Linked DNA regions of Mus musculus. The protein of the gene in region 1 binds, or shares a complex with, the protein of each later gene. Links are inferred from orthologs where the notes say so. Each region holds a gene or a part of one and is shown in the gene's direction. Other genes may lie near its edges. The genes, in order: Cnot6l, Cnot10, Cnot11 and Cnot2.

The links.
Region 2: Cnot6l (region 1) and Cnot10 share a complex: the UniProt entries of both Homo sapiens proteins name them as parts of the CCR4-NOT complex. The link is inferred for Mus musculus from reciprocal best matches to the Homo sapiens genes CNOT6L and CNOT10.
Region 3: Cnot6l (region 1) and Cnot11 share a complex: the UniProt entries of both Homo sapiens proteins name them as parts of the CCR4-NOT complex. The link is inferred for Mus musculus from reciprocal best matches to the Homo sapiens genes CNOT6L and CNOT11.
Region 4: Cnot6l (region 1) and Cnot2 share a complex: the UniProt entries of both Homo sapiens proteins name them as parts of the CCR4-NOT complex. The link is inferred for Mus musculus from reciprocal best matches to the Homo sapiens genes CNOT6L and CNOT2.

Annotation. Positions count from the first base shown.
Region 1 is NC_000071.6:96,073,447-96,079,289, reverse strand, and holds part of Cnot6l (CCR4-NOT transcription complex subunit 6-like), read left to right. Parts: intron 1-1,897; coding exon 1,898-2,110; 3' UTR 2,111-5,843. UniProt on the Homo sapiens protein: Has 3'-5' poly(A) exoribonuclease activity for synthetic poly(A) RNA substrate.
Region 2 is NC_000075.6:114,614,854-114,620,696, reverse strand, and holds part of Cnot10 (CCR4-NOT transcription complex subunit 10), read left to right. Parts: intron 1-1,324; coding exon 1,325-1,474; intron 1,475-2,702; coding exon 2,703-2,905; intron 2,906-5,586; coding exon 5,587-5,708; intron 5,709-5,843. UniProt on the Homo sapiens protein: Component of the CCR4-NOT complex which is one of the major cellular mRNA deadenylases and is linked to various cellular processes including bulk mRNA degradation, miRNA-mediated repression, translational repression during translational initiation and general transcription regulation.
Region 3 is NC_000067.6:39,541,260-39,547,102, forward strand, and holds the end of Cnot11 (CCR4-NOT transcription complex subunit 11), read left to right. Parts: intron 1-1,140; coding exon 1,141-1,343; intron 1,344-3,632; coding exon 3,633-3,729; intron 3,730-3,809; coding exon 3,810-4,007; 3' UTR 4,008-5,622; downstream 5,623-5,843. UniProt on the Homo sapiens protein: Component of the CCR4-NOT complex which is one of the major cellular mRNA deadenylases and is linked to various cellular processes including bulk mRNA degradation, miRNA-mediated repression, translational repression during translational initiation and general transcription regulation.
Region 4 is NC_000076.6:116,493,740-116,499,582, reverse strand, and holds part of Cnot2 (CCR4-NOT transcription complex subunit 2), read left to right. Parts: intron 1-116; coding exon 117-241; intron 242-1,124; coding exon 1,125-1,245; intron 1,246-1,340; coding exon 1,341-1,497; intron 1,498-4,561; coding exon 4,562-4,623; intron 4,624-4,710; coding exon 4,711-4,760; intron 4,761-5,789; coding exon 5,790-5,843. UniProt on the Homo sapiens protein: Component of the CCR4-NOT complex which is one of the major cellular mRNA deadenylases and is linked to various cellular processes including bulk mRNA degradation, miRNA-mediated repression, translational repression during translational initiation and general transcription regulation.

The DNA of each region.
Region 1 (5,843 bases):
TTAGTATATTCCCATGTCATCCATGGAACACTTCAATTTTTAAAAGAAAAGGAAGTCCTGCTGTTCATGTTCAGAACAAGATGTTCCTTGATGAACTGATGGCAACGGCTCATTGTGGTTACTCCCCTTTTGTTTATTTCCTGATCATTTTGTCTACTTGTAGCTATTGCCTTTACCTCTATTTGACTTTCTGTCATTTTCAGAATGAGTTGTATATCTTGTTCTATCCTAAAAAATACATATATAGAGGAAGTTGTTTAGTATACAAAGCTTAGAGAATTTATAATATAATACAAAAGGGAAATATTAAATAGGCTCATTCACATTTTCAATAACCTTTTTCCTTTTTTGTTCTGTTTTATTTTTTGAGACTGGGTTTCTCTGGGTAACCCTGGCTGACCAGGAACTGACTATGTAGACCAGGCTGGCTTCAAAATCATAGAAATTAACTCCCTTTGCCACCTGTGTGCTGGGATTAAAGGTTGAAACCACCGTGCCAGCCTCCTTTTTTCATTTTTTTATTCTTTTGAAACCAAGACAGGAGGAAGAAAGATTTGTGTTTTGATATTAGTCAGCTTTAATAGAAATGGGACAAAAACTGCTTAGAAGTTAATATAGTTTTACTAGTACATAAATCTATCCGCTTATAGCTTGCATTGTTTTGGTCACTCATACATGGTGATGCACAGTTAAGCATTTAACTAGCTCTCTGGGGTAAATAAGCCTTGATTGGTAGTGTTTTCTGTGGATTATGTGCTTGTCCGATCTGATGTGATACGTTTGTTCACATTGTTGCGAAAGGTATTGTTCAAGTTAGAAATCACCAGCTCTAGTATTTTGTAGAAGTTGAAAGAAATACTTCTGAACTTAACTTAGTGATATATAGTTTAAATCCTATGTTTATAATTATAATATATAATATTGCAAACATAACCCAGAAGAACTAATAAAAGCTCTCCAAAATACGTGTTCAGTAACTAGCTGTTATTATTGTCTTAGTATACAGTAGGTTAAGAGAAAATATTACTTTTTCCATACTTTTTAGATTCTTACTTTTTAACTTGTCCATAAACTATTAGAAAAAAAATTGGCATATTAGTTTAAGCCTTGATTTTCTGAGCTGGTCTAAAATCACTATTTCTTTAACATATCTTCAATGCATCAGGTGTTATAGCACATACCTGTAATCTCAGCATGTGATAGGGTGAGGGTCTTGAAGTCAAGCCTAGCTGGATTACATAGCAAGGCCTTGTTACATTAAATGAATAAATGAATAAATTTCACATGTAGAAATACTTCTTTCTGCTTGAGTATGGGCTCTTTGCTATAGTTAAATACTAGGTTAAGTGAAGTCTATGCAGCTTGGATTAGTGAAGGCACATTAGTTTTGCTATTTACTAATCCCATAAATTAAATCATCTAGCTCTGGGAAATAGAATAAATGTTATAATACAAGTATGTGTCTGCATGTGCATGTCTCTTCCTGCTAATGGATATTTTGCTTCAGTCCAGAACTTGTAGAAATGAATATTTTGAAGTAAATAAATTTAGACAGTTAACTGTATAGTATGTTAGACTTTACTAAACCAAGAAAGTCTTTTAGAGGTGCCTAGACATACATTTGTGTGTTTAGCATTTTTGTTTTATAATTTATGTACAAATGTAAAACTTTTTGATGCAGTAAGATGCTGTGTTTCTTTATTGAGCCACGTTTATTCATATAATAACCCATCAAACATTAGAGCCTTGTTGAATCTACAGTCAGAGTAACAGGTATCGGGAATTACAGGTTTTCTTATTTAGATTTTTCCAAAGAAAAAATTGTTCTTTTCATGGAGTTTTTCTCTTTTTAAACATATTTTCCTTTCCCCTTGTGTTCTCCCTAATCTCTTTCCAGGGTGTGATTGACTACATTTTCTATTCCAAGACTCATATGAACGTGCTTGGTGTCCTGGGGCCTTTAGATCCTCAATGGCTGGTTGAGAACAACATCACTGGGTGTCCACACCCTCACATCCCTTCAGACCACTTCTCACTGTTAACACAACTTGAACTCCACCCTCCACTCCTGCCTCTTGTCAATGGTGTTCACTTGCCTAATCGGAGGTAGTGGAGTACAGCCCCGCAGAGACGGGGATCTGTCGCTATGGACCTGTACAGTTGTAAATCAAAGTATGTAGGAGTGAAGTATGGCCATCTTTAACGCTGCTTCTTCAGGTTCCTTTCACTATGTGTTTGCTATAAGACTGTATATTTTTGTGCATACTGATATCATTTGGCACTAGGGCTGGAACCAAAGTATTGCTGTCTGTCTCTATCCAAAAGTTTAATACACTTTAAAATTGGATTTATTTTCCTATTATATTAGGAACCAACATTCACGATTGATAAATCACTAATTTGAGACCCCACACCATTGTTGTTCTCTAAAAACAAATACATTCTTTTGAATGTTTTCAAATAAGCCAATCATTTTTGTAAAAGGTGATTTAAAAAAAAAAAAAAAACTCCAAATACAAGATTTTCAATTGAATGATGGTATGCCTTATAGGAAAAACTTTGAGTTTCTGTTTTCTTTCATAACAAGCTGATTTTTGGCTCTCAAGTCATTTGCACATTATCAAAGCACTTAAATTTGCTTGATTTGTACATTAAATTTGATATAGCCACTAGCTATAACAAGACAATTCGGGAAATGAAAGACAATTGCATAACATGCTTTAAAATCAAGCATAGTATGTGACAGTTTGTTGGCCAAATGCTGGTTGTTTTGTTTGAGGAATCTTTTCTCTTCTCTTCTTTTTTCCTTTTCCTTTTCCCTTTCTCTTTTCTCTTTTTTCTTTTCTTGTCTGCCTGTTAGTCCTAATCTCTTTAGAAGTATTAACTTTAAGCCCATCTCTCAAGTTCATTTATAAGGAAATAGCAGATAATACTGCCATATATCTTGAAAGTAAAATTTGGTATTTTTAGGATGCCCACAAAATTAGTGTCTGGTATTTTTCATTTTCGTGCCCAAACTTTTATTTTCTGTCCGGTTGTACTGGAAAAATATGATCTATATCTTTACCACTACAGTTTAACACTTAAGGAAAATTGCTGAATGAAAAGCCCCTGGTCAGTTTCAGAAAGGGCAAGCCAGATAATATTATACGTGTTTTCCAAAGTAAGTAAAATGGCTGTTTGTTTGTTGTTTTGGTTTTTTTTGTTTCATTTTAAGGTAACAGTAGAGATGATTTAGAGGAAAGGACAGATTTGGGGACATAATTGAAAACCTTGGATCACTTTTTTCTGACTCTAGCTGCCAAATGGCCATCATATGCTTTTAATCTTCGTTGCCATACTGTCTAGATTTGAATTAAGCTACTGTTTTATTCCCAAAGTTTGATGCCTCTATATGTATTGGGAAACACCACCACCACCACCATTTATTGTTGGCCAGGAGGTGCCACTTGAGAATCTTACGTAAGAGGCAGAGAGCATAAACACCATTTGTGGGGAGAAAATTAGTTGGCAAAATTAGAAAATGTTAATTATGGCACAGTAACATTGGAAAAGGTTGTGTCTGTGTTTTTAAGTTTTTCTTTATTCTGCTTTTTTGCTGCTATAAGAGTTTTCTGAAATTTATATTGTAAACTTTTCATGCACTTTACTGTTTCTAGTATCAAAATGTGATATTTTTAATAAACAAGAAATTTTCCATTATGTGATGAAATTTAAAAAGAAAATAACCTATATTTGTGTCTCACTAATATATAAAGTACAAGTCAAATTTAAATTATTTAATTAGCTTTAAATATATACAAATTGTCTCCTCTTCCAAACCTGACCTCTTAGGCTGTTTTATTAGTCTTAAATGATACATTTCCTGTGGTCATTTTATACTAATTTCTTCCATAGTTTACTGATCAGGCTATATAAAAGAATATTTCCCGAAGGGTAATTTTAGTGGGATGAGGGTGGTGGGGTGATGTAATATCACGCAGGATTGCATCCAGAAGAGCTCTGTAAAGCCTAAACTCCCTTTAAAAAGTGCCTAGTGACAGAGGCGTTGTCATCTATTGTAATTGGAATGTCATTGTAGTTCAGCAAAGTTTGATGTAAATAAAATATTCTTTTAAAAATGTTAAAGTACCTGAATAAACAAACAAAAGAAACCCTTGATGACAGATTTTCCTCAGTGTTCAGGTATCCCTTCTTATATACCTCAAGCATCCAACATCTAGCCATGAAGATTGATTACCTGACGCATAGTACTGGAAAGTAGAATAGCATGAAAAACTTAACTGTGTGGACATTACCTTTTTCTGTAATCAGCTACTGTCTGTTTAGTTTTCTCCTGTTTCGGGTGGGCTTTCTTCTCTGGAGGTATGTGCACTAACAGAACATCCTTCTTTTTTTCATAGATGCATGTTAACTAGCAATGTGAGCAATATTTCCTACCATACTTCACTCCCAATATTTTTGAGATGTTTGTATAAAATGAAATTTAAAGTTCACTTATGATTGTATATGAACCACAGAGGAGCCCATTTATTAATACAAATCTTTTTTAATAGTTAAATGTAGAGGGGGAAAATAAAAAAATGGGAAACATTGTAAACAGCTTAAGTTTATTTTGTGTATGATCGAGGCACTCTGTTGCAAGAAGGTGTGTAATTGGGTCTCTCTGCTTCCAAATGCACTCTTTCAAACCATTCATTATCCTGTGTATTTTAATGTGGTTTTCGTAAATGTTGGTAGTAGCTCTGTTGAAGTAGGTGATTGTGTTTTGTTTTGGGTGGCACACACCTAGGGCATGGTATCCCAAATTTCATGTGCACGGTTTCCCTTTAGCCTCTTGCCCAAATTTAACACACTGTTTCCCCTCGTTCCCTTTGTAAAAGGAGTGGTATCTTGTTTTGAGCTGCCAGTTCAGATGATCAGAAATGCTGCTGTCCTCAGCATTGTCTTGTTAAATGCATGCCATTTGGAACTTTGGCAGTGAGAAGCCCAAAGGACAAGGTGAATGACGTGATATATATTCGATAAAAGTGAAATATATATACTCATATACTTTCTAGTTCTCAGAATAAGTTAATAAGCTTTATGCCTTTGGGCTGCTGCATATTTTATCTGATAAGAGAAAATTTGGGCATTTTTAGATTGTGCTATGTATTTTTTTAAATGTTCAATATGATTTCTGGTAATTGTCTTAAGAACTGGAGTGTTAAGTTTATTAAAATGGTGTTGTTTGAAGAAGGGGAAACTGCACTGTTTGCCATTATAAAAGTAATACAAGTGCATGTCCCGTCACCCACTGTCAGGCATCAGTATCCTCATAGCTTTACACACTCTGATGGGGAATATTGCAGCATTCTCAGGACTGACATCTGGAAAAGGCTCAAATCACTTACTGCTCCTTGCTTGTTGACTTTGTTTTACAATATTGTGCCTGGTGTCAACTTTTAAGCAACAGCACTGCCTAAAAGCAAGCAGAGAACAGAATCCCAGCACCATTCTATAGGCAACTTTTTAGAATTCAGATACAGTAAATCTGTTCAAGATTTATGATGTTTTATGTAAAAAAAATTTTGTACTACATAGCTGAATATTTTTGTTTGATTTATTTGATGTAAGGCGTGTGAACATTCATTTGAATATCACATGTTAAAGTCAGGTATGGCACAATGGGCTCTGAGACCAGCTTCCCCCCGCACCCCCCCCCCATTTGCCTTGTTCTAATCTCTTTCTTTTCAAATTGCATTTCTGGTATTCATAAGCAGATATTTAATTTTACTAATAAGCATCCTGTGTGAATGTACTTTAAAAGCCACTATGTTTTAGTGTTATGGTTTGTAGAATTA
Region 2 (5,843 bases), on another chromosome or scaffold:
TGGGCATGAGTTTTCCAAACATGTGACAGGTGACAAAGGCTTCTGTTACAGTCTCTAACTTAATAGTCAAAGGGCAACTGATAGGCCAGATGAAATAATGTATAAGCTAAGAAATAATGCTCAGGGCTTGAGAGGTGGCTCAGCAGTTAAGAGCACTGACTGCTCGAGGGGCCTTTAATCCCAGCACTCAGGAGGCAGAGGCAGGCGGATTTCTGAATTCGAGGCCAGCCTGGTCTACAGAGTGAGTTCCAGGACAGCCAGGACTATACAGAGAAACCCTGTCTCGAAAAACCAAAAAAAAAAAAAAAAAGAGCACTGACTGCTCTTCCAGAGGTCCTGAGTTCAATTCCCAGCAACCACATGGTAGCTCACAACCATCTGTAATGGGATCTGATTCCCTCTTCTGGTGTGTCTGAAAATAGATTTTTTAAAAAACAAAGAAAGAATGCCCAGTTGGGTATGGCAGATGACACCTGCAATCTCTGAACTCTGGAGGCTGAGGCAGAGAGATTGCCAAGCAAGCCTCAGTTCCTTAGTGAGTTGTAGGCTACCAGGACCAGTGTGAGACCCTCTCACAATGAGAATAGTGCCAGGGTCCTACCAGATAGTAGAGTTCACTGTCATATGCAAAGCCCTGGCTTTCATCCCTAGCACCACACAAACCAGGTGTGGGATCCTGCCTGTGATCCCTGCACTGTGGGAGGTAGAGGCAAGAGAATTAGAAGGTCATTTTCAACTGCAGAAAGTTCAGATGAGGTCAGCCTTTTCTGCACAAGGTCCTGTCCGAGGTGGTTGTTAGTATGATGGATGGTAGGTGGATAGATGGAGTAGAGTGGACACTGAGGCTTAAGAGAAAGCAGGCTTTGTAGTCTCTGTTGTACCGCATACATTCTCCCTGCTATTCTTCACTTAATGTATTCTAGCTGCTTCTGTGTGTGTGTGTGTGTGTGTGTGTGTTCAACTTAAGACCTTGTACATATTAAGCCAGCTCTACCATTGAGCTGAACTCTAGCTCCCATGTTTAGGTGCTTCACGGTTTACAGTTTGCACAGGATTTCACTGTGGATGTGTGGCATATATATTAAGTTACTGTGTTTTATCACTCGTTAAAAAGAATAAGATCAATAAAAAAGTATCAGGGTTGTTTTAGAAATCCATCAAAACAGGGTTTCACTCAGCTTTGCCCTGTGCCTCATGAACTGTCCTGTGGGGACTAACTGACTTTCCAAATAGGTTAGCTAACTGACAGCAACTAGGTCTGCTGTCTACTTGAGAGACTGCAAAAAACAGATTATGTGTGTAAAGTAGTTTGTGTTGTTTCCAGGTGAATGCTTGAGATGCATGTTCTGGAATAACCTTGGTTGTATCCATTTTGCCATGAGCAAGCACAATTTGGGGATTTTCTACTTCAAGAAGGCTCTGCAGGAAAATGACAACGTCTGCGCCCAGCTCAGTGCGGGTGGCACTGATCCAGGTGAACAAGCACTGGGGACCTGCAGTGTCCTCCTTGACACACGTGGTTGAAATAGCAAGTGTCGGGGAGGGATCTGGGCGTGGGTGATACATTCAGGGCTTGGAGGATGAGACAAGATGTCCTAATCAAAGGAATAGCAGTCATCCAGTGGGAGAGTAATTCCGGCCTCAGAGAGCAGAGGTGAGAGGTCCTGGAGCAAGCTGACCAGCTCATTCGGGAAGCTGCAGCTTAATGAAAAGGTCCTGCCTGCAAGAATAAGACAGAAGGATGACTGACGAAGATTCTCGACCTCAAGCTTGGGCTTCCACATGTGTACACACACACACACACACACACACACACACACACACGAAAACACATAGACATAGCAGAAAAAAAGAAAAGACCAAAACATTACATTACCCTCAGTTTGTTATGGACTTGAATCAGTAGTCCTGAGTGGTATGCCATCCAGTTCTGATTAGTCATTAGGATTTCTTGACTGTGGGCTAATATTATAAATTGTTGGCAGAACTTCACAAGTGATGTTTTGGTGGCATCTCAGAGCCTTAAAGCTGGCTGGAGAGATGGCTCAGTGGTTGAGAGCACTGACTGCTCTTCCAGAGGTCCTGAGTTCAGTTCCCAGCAACCACATGGTGGCTCACAACCATCTGTAATGGGATCAGATGCCCTCTTCTGGTGTGTCTGAAGACAGTAACAGTGTACTCACATAAAATAAACAAACAAATAAACAAATAAATAAATCTTAAAAAAAAAGCCTTAAAGAAACTTGCTGAAGTTTGTCATTTACGTTCAGATTATATGGATCTTTGATCAGAATTTAAAATCAAGCATCTTTGTAATTTTTAAAACCATAAACACCTATTTAAGTGATGAAAAATGTATTTTAAATGGCAAGTGGTAGTCTTGTAGACTCTGAGTCACTGAGAAAGTGTAGCATATGGTAACAAAGTGGCCAAGCGGTCTGAAGGAGGGCAAGGTGCTGTAGTTCAGAAAGCCAGTGACTCACTCAGCTCTTTGCCTCCCTGAAGCAACACTGCCAGAAGAGCTGGCCCAATCCTGGGCATTTGTGTCCTTCCTAGTACAGACATCTGACATGAGTGTCAAGTACTTGGGGAGCTAGGCATGGAGAAACCACCTCAGAGAGAACCATTACAGTGTCACATTGGAGTCACTGGTACTAAATATGGAAGTGTTTACTTGTCTATTCTCCACATTTTATCACAAGGCAAAAAGTTTTCTGGAAGACCCATGTGTACATTGCTGACCAACAAAAGATATGAGCTGCTCTACAACTGTGGGATCCAGCTGCTGCACGTCGGGAGGCCTCTCGCTGCCTTCGAGTGTCTGATTGAAGCTGTTCAGGTGTACCACGCGAATCCTCGTCTCTGGCTACGGCTGGCTGAGTGCTGCATTGCTGCCAATAAAGGGGTGAGTGCTGCTTGAGTAGCTCTTTGAGTCTCTGTTTCTCCTCTTCTACACTTGGTACATGGAAAGCAGAAGATACTTGGGACTGGAGAGATGACTCAGCGGTCAAGAGCACTGACTGCTCTTCTGAAAGTCCAGAGTTCAAATCCCAGCAATCACATGGTGTCTGAAACCATTCGTAATGAGATCTGACGCCCCCTTCTGGTGTTTCTGAAGACAGCTATAGTGTACTCACATATAATAAATAAATAACTTAAAAAAAAAAAACCTGGGAATCTAAGACCTCATTTCCATTTTCACTGCCACTGAATGTAAGTCTTCTGCTCACAGTCACTTGCTTAGCTGTAATTCTTGGCAAAGGTTGATGCCAGTGAGGAGTCTGTGTCAGAACAGTGAGGCGTGGTGGCTCCTGCTAGGGCTGCGCTGTGCCGTCTGTAAGCAGGAGGGTGGGCTCTGTCCCAGGGGTCAGAGCACCTGGCTCTGATGGAGTGTGCACAGGAGTGCATTAAACAGCACTCCCTCCAGTGAGGCACGTGACAGTCATGCATCTTCTCGGACACACCGGTCCTCAGTGTCTGAAACTGGGCTGCCCTGAGCTGTTCTCTCTCGGTCGGTAGCAGCCTCCTGAGTCTCTGGCTGAGCGGGGTCGGTGTGAATTGGGTGAAATAAGAATTACCAGGTGTCTGAGTTCCCCTCACCTCTCTTCCCTTGGTTTGTGAGGGGTGGAGCAGTTGGCTTCCTAAGGCTTGCCCGGCACACTTGTCTGACATAGGCTACGAAGGATACTGAGGCTCATTATTGAGCAGCATTTTCTGATGAGCAGCAGGTGAAAGAGCCAAGGGTTTAGAAGAAGCCTGTGCGGGGCAGTTTCACATCCAGGGTTTCAGAAGTTGACGTGAATGCAGCAGAGAGGGGACTAATGCTCTCGGAAGACTTTGATGATGTATTGAAAGTTAGAAGGGGGAGGGAGAGGAGAGAGCCAGGGCAGGCATGCACACATATGGACGAGTGCTGGTTCAAACTCAGAGCCTTGTTCATAACAGGAACGTACTCACCCTCTGAGCTGCTTCTTTAGCTCTATGCTTGGGGTTTTCCTTGTTAAGATTTATTTTTATGGATAGTGTGTTTTCCCTGCTTGTGTATGTGCTCACCACATTCGTGCGCAGCCTGCAGAGGCCAGAAAAGGTCATCAGAGCCCCTGAAACTTGAGTTGCTGTGTGGGTTGCTGGAAACACTGGGATTCCTCTGCAAGAGCAGCGAGTGCTCTAAACGACTGAGCCAGCTCTTCTGTACTTCAGGGGGGTTTTGTTTGTTTGTTTTTTAAAATTTATTTATTATATTACGTATACCGTAGCTGTCTTCAGACACCTCCAAAGAGGGGATCAGATCTCATTACTGATGGTTGTGAGCCACTATGTGGTGCTAGGATTTGAACTCAGGACCTTCGGAAGAGCAGTCAGTGCTCTTAACCGCTGAGCCATCTTTCCAGCCTCTGTACTTTAGTTTTTAAAAAAGTTTTTACAAAAGGCTTCAGGCAGGGGCTGGTGAGATGGCTCAGTGGGTAAGAGCACCCGACTGCTCTTCCGAAGGTCCAGAGTTCAAATCCCAGCAACCACATGGTGGCTCACAACCATCTGTAACAAGATCTGACTCCCTCTTCTGGTGTGTCTGAAGACAGCTACAGTGTACTTACATATAATAAATAAATAAATCTTTAAAAAAAAAAAAAAAAAAAAAGGCTTCAGGCAGAAGATTCTGTACCACACTGGGCAGAGCTTGAGCATATATTACCTCAAAGCCAGCCTCCACAAAAGCCACACCCACTCCAACAATGCCACATCTCCTAATAGTGCCACTCCTTGTGGCCAAGCATTCAGCACATGAGTCTATGGGGGCCAAACCTATTCAAACTGCCACAGTTCTGTTGAGAGACTCTGCCTCGATAAACAAATAGGAGAAAAATCTAGCACATCTTTGTATGTTACCCCCAGGCCTCTGATTCAAAACCAGGCACATATGTACCACATACACAAATACACAGTGCAGGGGTTGGGAGGGTGGGGAAATGTAGTTTCACAAAGTGGCTATGATAGTAATCCTAGCACACAGGAGGTTGAAGCAGAAGGATTGAAAGTTTGAGGCCAGCTTGAGCTACAGAACAAAATCCTGTCTCATACACACACAAACACAAATTCTTAATTCTAAAATTTGGTGCTGGAGAGGTGGACACTTGCTTCTCTTGCAGAGAACCTAGGGTAGGTTTGTAATCACATGGTGGTACACAGCTGCCTGTAGTTCAGGGGATCCAAGCCCTCGTCAGCTTCCACAGGCACCAGGTGCACACGTGGTACATATTCATATCAACAGGCAAACATTTGTGTACATAAAATAAATACATTATAGAACATAATAACTGGGGCTGGAGGGATGGCTCAGAGGTTAAGAGCACTGACTAACCTCTTTTAGAGGTCCTGAGTTCAGTTACCAGCATCCACATGGTGGCTCACATCCATCTCTAATGAGATCTGATAATCTCTTCTAGTGGTCAGCTACAGTGTACTCAGAAATAAAGAAATCTTTAAAAAAAAAAAAAAAGGCCATAATACTTGTAAATTATTTGACCATATTTTATGCCATTTTTACTGTTTCTTTACATTTTATCTTAAATATTTTTTGTTTTCTAGACTTCTGAGCAAGAAACTAAAGGTCTTCCCACCAAAAAAGGCATTGTACAGTCTATTGTTGGTCAGGGATATCACCGTAAAATAGTTCTGGCATCACAGTCAATTCAGAACACTGTCTACAAGTGAGTATTTTGCCATGAGCCAGTGTGTCTCTGTAACAACACTGTCGGTGCCGTGCTTTTAGTGGGCAGTAGCTTGGGCTTGACCGTTTCACAGGAGGAATTGCTTTGTGGTGACAGTTTATTGCTACATCATTA
Region 3 (5,843 bases), on another chromosome or scaffold:
GCCTCTGTCTCCCGAGTGTTGGGATTAAAGGCGTGCGCCACCACGCAAAGCAAAATAAATGAACTTTTAAAAGAAAGAAAAAGTATGTATTTGGACACAGGAAAAAAAAATGTTTTCCCATCTGTCTTAGTCAGGGCTTCTATTCCTGCACAAACATCATGACCAAGAAGCAAGTTGGGGAGGAAACGGTTTATTCAGCTTACATTTCCATACTGCTGTTCATCACCAAAGGATGCAGGACTGGAACTCAAGCAGGTCAGGAAGCAGGAGCTGATGCAGAGGCCATGGAGGGATGTTCCTTACTAGCTTGCCTCCCCTGGCTTGCTCAGCCTGCTCTCTTATAGAACCAAGACTACCAGCCCAGAGATGGTCCCACCCACAAGGAGCCTTTCCCCCTTGATCACTAATTGAGAAAATGTCTTACAGTTGGATCTCATGGAGGCATTTCCTCAACTGAAGCTCCTTTTTCTGTGATAACTCCAGCTGTGTCAAGTTGACACAAAACTAGCCAGTACACCCATCTCTTAGATGCAAAGCGTGGGTGTGATTGGTGCTGTAAAGTACTACAGGTGGAAGACAGAAGACTTCCTCTTCTGTCCCTCTCTAGAGTAGTTCTGTTGTCTTTCTGGGTAAGACAGAGCATGGCTCTTGTTCTGAATTATTCTAGTTTATGGAGTTCTGTGTGGCTTTTTTTTTTTTTTTTTTAAAGAAAAAATGGAGACAAGGTCTTGCCATATATCTCAGATAGCCTTGAGCTCATTACATAGCCAAGGCGGGCAACTCCTGCCTCAGTGCTTGTATTATTTGTGTGCTACCACAATCAACTTGGTTGTGTGATTTGGGAGAAGTTGGTAATTAAGATCTTTAAGAATGACACTATTGTCATAGTGTATATTACTAGACAAAACCAAGGCTTACCACGTCTAGAGGAAGAATGACTAGTAGATTTTTAAATTGTCGCTTATTTTTGTGCCATTGCAATTCAGATCTGAAAATATATGAAGACATAGTATTGGCTTTGAGGGAAGAAATTTAACAAATTAACAAAGACAATTTTTGTAATTTATATAAAACATTTCCATTTGTGTACAGGAAAATTCTCTAACATAACTCAAGAACCTCTCAACTTGTCTTTTTTAGCTCCTCGGTGAGTTGGAAAAAGATCCCAAACTTGTTTATCACATTGGCCTTACTCCAGCGAAACTTCCAGATCTAGTGGAGAACAACCCTTTAGTCGCTATAGAAATGCTGCTGAAACTGATGCAGTCAAGCCAGATCACGGAGTATTTCTCTGTCCTGGTCAACATGGACATGTCCTTACATTCAATGGAAGTTGTAAATCGGTAAGTTCTCATGTCCCACCAGAGCGGGTACACAGGCCCTGATTATATGATCCAGAAGTCTGAAAAGCTGGAGTAGTTTCTCTCCCCTTTCCTGATTCTGTTACCCTGACTAATCTTTGCTGTTCACTGCATATGAATTTGATTTCAATTCATAAGAACTCAGTTGTTGAATTTACTTCACTGTCACGTGCCCCTTACAAATTCAGGTTTTATGTTCCTTGGCAGCCAGGAGTTGCAGCTTGTGCGTGTGGGTCTCAGAACTGGTCATCTAGGCATGCTGTCGTGATTACTAGTATTCTCCCGGCTTTGTTGTTCTGTAGAGCCCTGACTGTCCTAGAACTCACTGTGTAGACCAGGCTGTCCTCAAACTCATGGAGATCCACCTGCTTCTGACTCCCAAGTGCTGGGATCAAAGATGTGGACCAGCACACCCAGTTTCCCAGTTCTTTCTTGATTTTGCTCATTAAACATCAAGGAAAGAATGAATTCCCTGTTGATGTGTTCTGTATAGTTTTTGTCTTTTATTTTCCTTACAGATATTGTTTAGGTAAATTGTGAATTAAATGTAGTGAGAGGTAGATGGGGTATTATTTTTTTTGAGGTTTTTTTTTTTTTTTTTTTGGATAGGATCTCATAGTATCCTAGTAGCTTCAAATTCATAGCAGCCTGTCTGCCTCATTCTCTGAATGCTGGAATCATGGGTATGAACCAGGTTACAATTTTTTGAGCATCCATATATAAGTTGGCAGTTGTTTCAAACTTGAACTAAGGAATGTCTGGTCATCTGGTGACAGCTTGGCTGGTAGCTCTGTGCACAAGAAAGGGCTGGGCGAGGAAAGGCACATGGGTTTCCAGTTACTTTGTAAGACTCTGTCACTGGCAGAGCTGCCTGGCTTCTTGTGGAAAACTTGGTGCTTGCTTCCACCTCTCCTTGCTGGCACCTCCTTTACTATAGTTGCAGTTGCTGGTTTTTTTGTGTTTTGTTTTTGAGACAGGGTTTCTCTGTATAGCTCTGGCTGTCCTGGAACTCACTCTGTAGACCAGGCTGGCCTCGAACTCAGAAATCCACCTGCCTCTGCCTCCCAAGTGCTGGGATTAAAGGCGTGCGCGCCACCATCGCCTGGCACAGTTGCTGTTTTTTGCATTGGCTAAGTTCTGTCTTTGGATGGAGCAATCTGAGTGTTCATGGATCCCCCTCACTGCACTCTTGTAGTTCTGGCTTTTTCCAAGTATTAAGCAGCCTTGCTGATGCAGGTCTCAGTGGGTATGGTGGCTGGTTGTAGCTTTCTTTTCTGTTTGTTTGTTTGTTTTGGTTTTTCGAGACAGGGTTTCTCTATATAATCCTGGCTGTCCTGGAACTCACTTTGTAGACCAGGCTGGCCTCGAACTCAGAAATCTGCCTGCCTCTGCCTCCCGAGTGCTGGGATTTGGTTGAAGCTTTCTTATATTTTTGGTTGTGAGCCTAGCCTTTAACGGCTGAGCCATCTCTCCAGCCCAGTTGTAGCTTTTCTTAAGGTACTTCAGTGCCTTAGTTTAAGGATGCATAGATGTAGAAGAGGCAGCATGTATTCATTTACCTTTTCACACTTGTAGCAAAAGGTTTGCAGTTGCCAGCCCAGTGTTGAAATGCTTCTTGGGCTGAACTTAAACTCAGTGTGGAATTCTTACCTGACTCCATATCTTAGTACTTCACTTACGTGTTTGGGAAGAACTGTCTTGGCTTCAATGACTCTAAGCTTTATTACACAGCTGCTGTTCCTGTGTAATGGCTGACTCCAAGCCTGTTTGTCTTGCTCAGTTCTCAGGAAGGCCTTTTTGCTCCATATCAGCTAAGTAACTTTTCAAGGCTTTTTGCCAGGTTCATGTTTCTTCAAAGCTCTACGTTAGTCTGATTATAGGTTGTTCTGTTTAGTCTATACGTCACCTCAGACACGCTGCCTCTCATAGTGCTTAAACTGACAGGACTTTTCTAAGTTTTAAGTGATGGCAACAACTGCTGGTTATTTGAGGCTTGGAAGGAGGGAGACCATGATTGACAGTGATCCAGCCAGGCACGCTCAGGGATAGGATACTAACTGCTTAATGGATCATCTCAGAGTATAATTCGTGATGCACACTTAACAGAAGCATCAGAGGTTAAGTGCCTGTGGCTCTTGGGTTTAAAACTAGAGAATTGGGTCATATAAATCATTATCAGATGATCACAGGGAAGGCTTGACTTCATGATTACAGTACTTTCCAATACTAGCAAACACAGTTAACAGCTCAGATTTTTCTTTTGTGAAACAGACTAACTACAGCTGTTGACCTACCTCCTGAATTTATTCACCTATACATATCCAATTGCATTTCTACTTGTGAACAGATTAAGGATAAATATATGCAGGTGAGTAATGTAAATGCTTATAACATTGTCATTTGCCAAGAAAAGAAGTTTCTAAAACTTGTTCCTTTTTTCTTTTCCAGAATCGTTTGGTGCGTCTTGTGTGTGTGTTTCTCCAGTCTTTGATCCGTAACAAAATTATTAACGTGCAGGACTTGTTTATAGAAGTGCAGGCCTTCTGCATTGAATTTAGTAGGATACGGGAAGCTGCAGGCCTATTCCGGTTGCTGAAGACACTGGATACTGGGGAAACGCCTTCAGAGACCAAAATATCAAAATAATACCTCACTAGAACTTCCCTTTCTATTGTTCAACTGTATTTGGATTGGTTTTTAAACTTGTAACTCTTGAGTGGATTGCTTGATCTAAGAAATATAAATGACTTTATTTACTTAAAGTAAAATTTCCTTTTTCCTAGATGTTTCCCATGGATGAATTTTGGTGAGAACTTGGGAGAAATGTTTATTTTAGCTCTCTTGCTGATGACAATCCATATGAATAGTTATTCTGAAAATAGTTATTGCAAGAAAGGTGTAGGTGTTGCTCTTTTGAATTTAAAACACAGTACCTGTTTCTTTTAGAAAACAAACTGTAGGTTTCTGAAAAACCAGGAATTTGCTTTCGTAGCTTCTAGTGTGAAGCATGGTCAGTGAGAGTGAGTGAAGACGCTGAGAATTTACGGTGAGCGTGGCTCTTAGTAAGCAAGGTGTGAAACAAGGATGCACATTTCTGACAACAGTGTTCCTGGCCCACTGACAAGCATGGGCACTCTGCCAGGCTGCGAGAGTTGGCATTTTATTCTTCTCTCTTAACCACAGTTAGTAAGGGTGTGGTTTTTGTGGTCTTAAGGACAAATACGAGCTGGCACACCAGAAATGTATACCCAGGATGCCTGTTTGGTGAGGAGGTAGAAGAGTCAGTACCTGGGACAGTGTGCCTTAATTTTTTTTTTTTAAGACAGGGTCCATCTATGTAATTCTGGCGCTCACTATGTAGAGCAGGCTGGCCTTGAAATCAGAGATCCTTCTGCCTCTGCATGCTGTGATTAAAGGTGTATACCACCAAATCCAGCCTTTTTAAAAAATGTCTGACATACCATTTTATTTAAAGAAATTATGAAGAATTCCTTTTATGGAGATATCTCTAGAACCGATTTATGGGGACAGAATCTGTTCTCCCACATCCGGCAAGGCTTAAAGGAAGCCAAGCTTGGTGATTTTGTCTTACTGTACAATTACAATCTCCTAACAGTGGAGAAGGAACAAGAAACAATAATCCTTGCGCCCCTGTGGGAGTGACCCCCTCTGAACTAGAGAGCTGACTCCTCTCAATGCTCTGTAGTGGCCACTGCTATTTTACAGATGGCACTGGGCCAACAACAGCCCATGAACAAAGCACTGTTTTAGAATGACAAGTTTCAAAGACTTACTGTGGGCAACAAGCTCCACAGCTGATAGGCATGTCTTGTAGCTCAGGTTAGCTATGGCCACAGCCCAACACAAAATAAAAAATGTAATTAAAATGACAGTAGCCAGATGCAGATACTCCCAACCATTGGACTGAAGTTGGGGACCCCTATGGTTGGATTAGAGGAAGGATTGAAGAAGCTGAAGGGGAGGACCAACCCATAGGAAGACCAGTGTTCTCAACTAAACCCGACCCCTGGGAGCTCCCGAAGACTGAGCCACCAACCAAGCAGTACCATGGCTGATCCAAGCACATACACAGCAGAGGGCTGCCTGGTCTGGCCTCTGGGAGAAGATGCACTCGATCCTTTAGAGACTTGAGGCCTCTGGGAAGGGGGGAGGTGGGGCGGGGCACAGAACCTTGGGGGTGGGGGTAGGAGTGGGATGGGGGAGCAACAGCTGAAATGTAAATAAAATAATTTACAAAAAAGGAAAAAATATTAGAGTTTATATTATTTAGGGGGAGGTTATACGTGTGCATTTATTTCTAAAAGTTGGTTGTGTGGCTTTTGAGCATGTATTTCGTAGATGACAAGTATCCTATCAAGATGTCCATGAGTAAACACTTTTACTCTGCAGCCAACAAGGACTCAAGTGGGATCCATGAACAAAACCCCCTAGGGCTTATTTAGCATATATTTTGTCCATAAA
Region 4 (5,843 bases), on another chromosome or scaffold:
ATGCTTTTTTAAAAAAGCTTTTGGTATATTGTGATGAGCAAAGTTAGTTTCTTATATAGTTTATAAGACAGTATCATAGATTCAATTGCATTTTCTGGATTCTTTTCATTACATAGTTGGAATGGTAACAAAACCTGCAAATGAGCAATCCCAAGACTTCTCAATACACAACGAAGATTTTCCAGCATTACCTGGTTCCAGCTATAAAGATCCAACGTCAAGTAATGACGACAGCAAATCTGTAAGTAGCTGAGCACCTTGTGTGTGAGTGGTGTAGTTTTCTCCCTTTAGAATTGCCTGACACTAATAGTTACTGACTAGACGCTGCTGCACAACTGTTTGAGCACTGTAATCATCTAACTTGAAGACTGTAGAAAGCTTTATAACTTAGAAGGTAGCATTTTTTTCCTATTTCATGTAGGTTTGCAAATTTCTGTTGAACTTGTGAGTTAATTTAGACTTTTATTGTAGTCCCTGTCAGCTGGACCCCATGACGTTTGGTTATATAGACTTCTAAGGAGCTCTCTTTTTCTTGAGTAAGTTTTCTCCTTGAAGAATCTCTATGCACATTTTAATACCTGTGTTGATTCAGCGACCTCAGCTTCTGATTTAAAGTGTGTTTATTCCTTCCAACATTCATGGCAGAGAGCTGGTTTTTTTGTTTGTTTTTTGTTTTTTGTTTTTCTGTATGTTTGATGGGTAAGGATGGAAATAAGTATAAGTTTTGCAAGGTCATATATTCCTAGTTTACCTTTGAGGTTTCTTTGGTAATATTTTTAGTACTGTAATATGTAATTACTCTTTTTATATAGAAGTGTGCATCAACAAAGCATAAAACCCCAAGAAAGACAGATATTTTTCATATTTTACCCCCTGTGATCTATGACAGATTTAAAAAAAACAAAAAAGAAAAGGCTAATTTTTTCAAGGTTTCTTGCCTCATTTGTAGACACAGAATTTATTTGTATTTCGTGAGGCAGTTATGGGGAGACAATTTTCAAGTAGAAAACAGATAATTACTACTAATTTAGATATAATAGTGGATGGCTAGCAAGGGGTTGATGAATTTAAACTTAGATATTTAGCACATCTAATGTCATGCTTTTTTTTTTTTTTCGTGCTAGAATTTGAGTACATCGGGGAAGACGACTTCAAGTACAGATGGACCCAAATTCCCTGGAGATAAAAGTTCAACAACACAAAACAATAATCAACAGAAAAAGGGGATCCAGGTGTTACCTGATGGTGGGACTCCATAAATATGTCAGAGATATTTGAAAGTACAGTTTTCTCTACTTTCCTTAATATAAAGTAAAAATAACTGTGTTTTTCTTAACCAGGTCGAGTTACTAACATTCCTCAAGGGATGGTGACGGACCAATTTGGAATGATTGGCCTGTTAACATTTATCAGGGCAGCAGAGACAGACCCAGGAATGGTACATCTTGCTTTAGGAAGTGACTTAACAACATTAGGCCTCAATCTGAACTCACCTGAGTAAGTTTTTCCCTCCATGTTTGTACATATCTTCTAGTCTGTAATAGATTCTCATACTGTTACCTTTTTCTTTTGAAGACAGAGTAACCCAGGCAGGCATTATAGGTGTTATCCTGTATCCTGTGCCACCACAGAGAGCCTCAGACTTGTAGCTAATCTCATCAGCAGCCTGCATACTCCTGGGCTGTTCTTTCTAGCTAGCCCATAGATCACTGAGAAATACCAAGGATCCATCTACAAGGCATTTGGGTTAGTCCCCAAGCCACATCTTTATCCAGCCCATTGATCTTGTCATTATTCGGAACTAAGTTTACCTTGTTGCTTGCTTTTTAACTATCACTGTTTCCCATGCCTCTCTTGTGGCTGTGACTTCTATATCATTTGATTCTATTGCGACTTCTCATTCTCTAGCTCTCTGTCTTCCTCGGTGTTCTTGTCTCCTCCTCTTTGATGAGCTCACATCCTTCTCACCATTAAATTTTATGATGAATCATAATTGCTCACTTAGGCAAGCTTGACTGTCTGCCCTTCTCACTTCTCATCTTAAAAGTCTGTACCCATTGTTGTATCTGTTTGTTTGATTCTTGACCATCTTCTGGTTGGACTACAGAAAAGTGTAATTTCACTGTCTGGTCCTGCTGCACACTGATGCTCAAGAACTTAAACTTGAGTCCAAAATTTTGCAGGCATACTTCTTTTGTTTTGTTTTTTTTGTTTGTTTGCTTTTTTTTTTGTTTGTTTTTTGTTTTTGGTTTGGTTTGGTTTGGTTTGGTTTTTTTGTTTGTTTGTTTTTTTCGAGACAGGGTTTCTCTGTATAGCCCTGGCTATCCTGGAACTCACTTTGTAGACCAGGCTGGCCTCGAACTCAGAAATCCTCCTTCCTCTGCCTCCCCAGTGCTGGGATTCAAGGCGTGCGCCGCCACCGCCCTGAGCAGCCATATTTCTACCTGATGACATAATCCTTTCAGAACCTTTTGTTTGCTTTTGGATGTGTTTGGGTTGGTTGGTTGGTTGGTTGGTTTGCTGCTGTTATCCTATGTGACTGTTTTGAATTTCATCAAGCCAGGAATAGCATTTCCTCCTGTCCGTAGCTCTCATAATGACCTGGCTTCTATTTCTACTTTACAAAGACAGGTGTAAGCAGATAGAAGAGGACATTAACCTGGTCCTGCCTCCAAATCTAATGACCTGCCACCAATCTAAATCTGACATGACCTTGCCAAAATCTTTGGTCCATGCTTCCTACTAAAACTTCATCAAAACTCATGAGTGGGAGTCTTAATTTTTTCTCCTTTTCCTGGTGCTGGCATCCAAACCAGTGTTGGACACAGTAAGCAAGTGCTGTGCCCCCGAGCTACACCCTCAGCCCGCTTCCCCCCAGGACTTTGGAAATGGTCTTGGCTGGTGTAGTGTAGTCCAAGGTGGCTCCTTAAAGCACTCCTGCTTCTGTGTGAGTGATGATGTTATAGCCACATACATGCCATGATTTCCTTCCAACTTACAGCATTTCTCTTTTCACATTTCTAGTGCCAAATACAGAGAAACTTATTTTTCTATTTGTATTGAAATTACATTATCTTGATCAACCTCTTTTGAGTTATCCTCATTCTTAATTCTTTTTTTTTTTTTGGAAGCAAACCGTCTCAAATGAGTCATCCTCATTTTTCTAACCTGTCTTCTTTCACTCTACTGAATCCACTGTTGCGAGGAATCCGTTCCTGTGATTCCAGTAAGCGCTCTGCAGCATCCCCACTTTCTCTTGGTGCTCCTTCCTCACTTGACTTTGAAGATACCATTCTTACCTGGTAACGTTGGCTCATCCCTCAGTTTCCCTTGCTCATATCACCTTTGGATTGTCTTCTTGATGATCTTATCTAGACTTGTGCTTTTAAGGACCACATAGATTGAAAATTCCAAACACCTACTTCCATGGCAGACTTTTTTTCTTGAACTTGAGATTTTAGATGCCGTTATTAGCTAAATATCTCTTTTAAGATTTGGGTTAAACCTACACCATGGCTATGCTTTTTTGATCTCCATTAATACTTCCAGAAACGACATCATCCTTAGTCTCTCCTTTTCTCTCAGATGCAGTCCTTTCAAGTAGATACAGAATCCAATCATAGTCTCATTAAGTTGCTACCACCCTGGTTTGTTGCCTGAATATTCTGCCAGCATATCACAGCAGGGATTCTTGGTTTGCTCTTTTTGTATGGTTTTGTGTAGCACTCAAGATAATTCTTTCTGTGCTCAGCCCCAAGTACAGATTTGTTGCTCTGATTTAAACCTCCCTGAGTGGCAGCCCTGCAACGCTCACATCATCCTGCCTTTCTTCTGACTCCACCTTGGAAGTGTTTCCCTGCCTTCCTCTGCCTCTCATGTCACGCTGTCTCTGCCTCAGTTGTTCTAATATTCCCCTTGGCTAGTACAGTGTTCTACTAGCTATTGACCTGTGATTATCGCTCTTATATCCTTGAATATTTGTTTACATCTAAGCTTGTCAAATCGGACTTAAACTGATCACCCTATTTAATTATATAACCAGTATTATTCATTTGTTATGCTAATTATCTGCCAGTGTCCAGTTAGCCATACACTTTTACAGAAAGTAAGTTTTCCAATATCAGCAGTCTTCGTTTTTATCACTTAACTTATTCAGAACATAGAATAGGCACTCACAATACGTGTTCAGTGATACGAAATCTGGCTCCTCCTCATTTCGGCTTTGAGTGAGGTGGACATGGAAAGTACTATAATTGGAGAGTAGTGTAGAAATGAACTTAGAGCATTGTTAGTTACCGCTAATTTAAAGTAGACAATTTCCATTTTGTACCTAAGTATATTCTGACTTGCTGTGCTTTACACTCTGTTGGTGAGCACTAGAGGAAGCGAAGCGCTCTTGGGTTACTTTTCTGCTATAAAGTTGCAGTAAATTCAAGAAAGGGAACCAAGAAGGATGCTTATTTTTTTATTTGAATTCTTTTTTTCCCATTTTCCTGAAATTAAGTTAGAAATACAGTTTTCTACTTTGTTCTTTAAAGTGGCTTCTTTTTTACTTGTTCAGAAATCTCTATCCCAAATTTGCATCACCCTGGGCTTCTTCACCTTGTCGGCCTCAAGACATAGGTAGGAGAATCTATTTGTGCTCAAAATTGTTTAAAAGGTATTTCCTAAGTATCAGTTAGTAACACCTTTGTTTGTTTTATTATGCAGACTTCCATGTTCCATCAGAATATTTAACAAACATTCACATTAGGGATAAGGTGAGTGAGTAGACCTTTCTATTCTCAGGCGTCGATTTTAGCTATTATCTTGGTACCACTTCCAGTTCAGACGGCATGCTAATCCACTAGCAGTCTTAGGCGTATGTGTCTGTATACCATTCACATAACAATTTTATTTCTGTTTTTATTAATATTTTTATTAATATGCTGTAGGTCTTTTTTAAATCAATGTTAGGAATGATAAAATATTTCTTGTAATTAATAATTGTAACCATAGTGAATGGAAATACATTAACTTGGAAAATTTGGTGATTCTCTTCCTGACATTCTTATTTTATGCCCTTACTTATAAGAGATGTTATTCACATAAAATGTTTTTAATGGGAGAACCCACAAACACCTTTCTGAAGTTATTCGATATTTTTCCACTGTATGTGTCACACCAGTACTGTAGACCTGAGGCCTCCTCTTAGGCCAGTGTGAAAAGTACCGGAGAACTCCATGCATTCACAGCGGCCAGCAGAGTAGGGTAACAACACACTGGGAGGGAGCTGCACTCACTGAGGCAGGCATGTGGAAAAGCCAAGTGACTGACTGGGCGTGGCTCAGATAGGCCCTGTGTTTAGTTAGGTAGAAGCTGCAGGTGCTTGGGTGAACATGAGAACTAAGACCATCACACTTATCCTAGGTTTAGAGTTTTGTAGGCTGTGTTCTACCTTGTGGGAGGAAATGTGAAAAGATTATCTTTTAGGCATTCATTTAAACAAAATATGAGTACTGTCTCTCATTTTTATGCTTAGTCCTATGTGATACACTAGAAAGAGATGCTCTGTGAACCACTGTGCATGAAGCTTCAGCTTCAAACCTGTGTAGCTGGAACTCCGTGGGGTTCCACATTCTCACTCTTTAGCCTTGGGGTCAGCAGATAGCCTTGTTTATTTAAATGTTAGTTTTCTCTGCTAAATGAAGGATTTCGCTTTATCCTTCCAATTTTTATTTTAGTGGTAACAGTTATTTTCTGAAATTTTTACATTTGTTTTACAACTTAGCGTAATTTGTTTTTTGTAGCTGGCTGCAATCAAACTTGGCCGATATGGAGAAGACCTCCTCTTCTATCTGTAT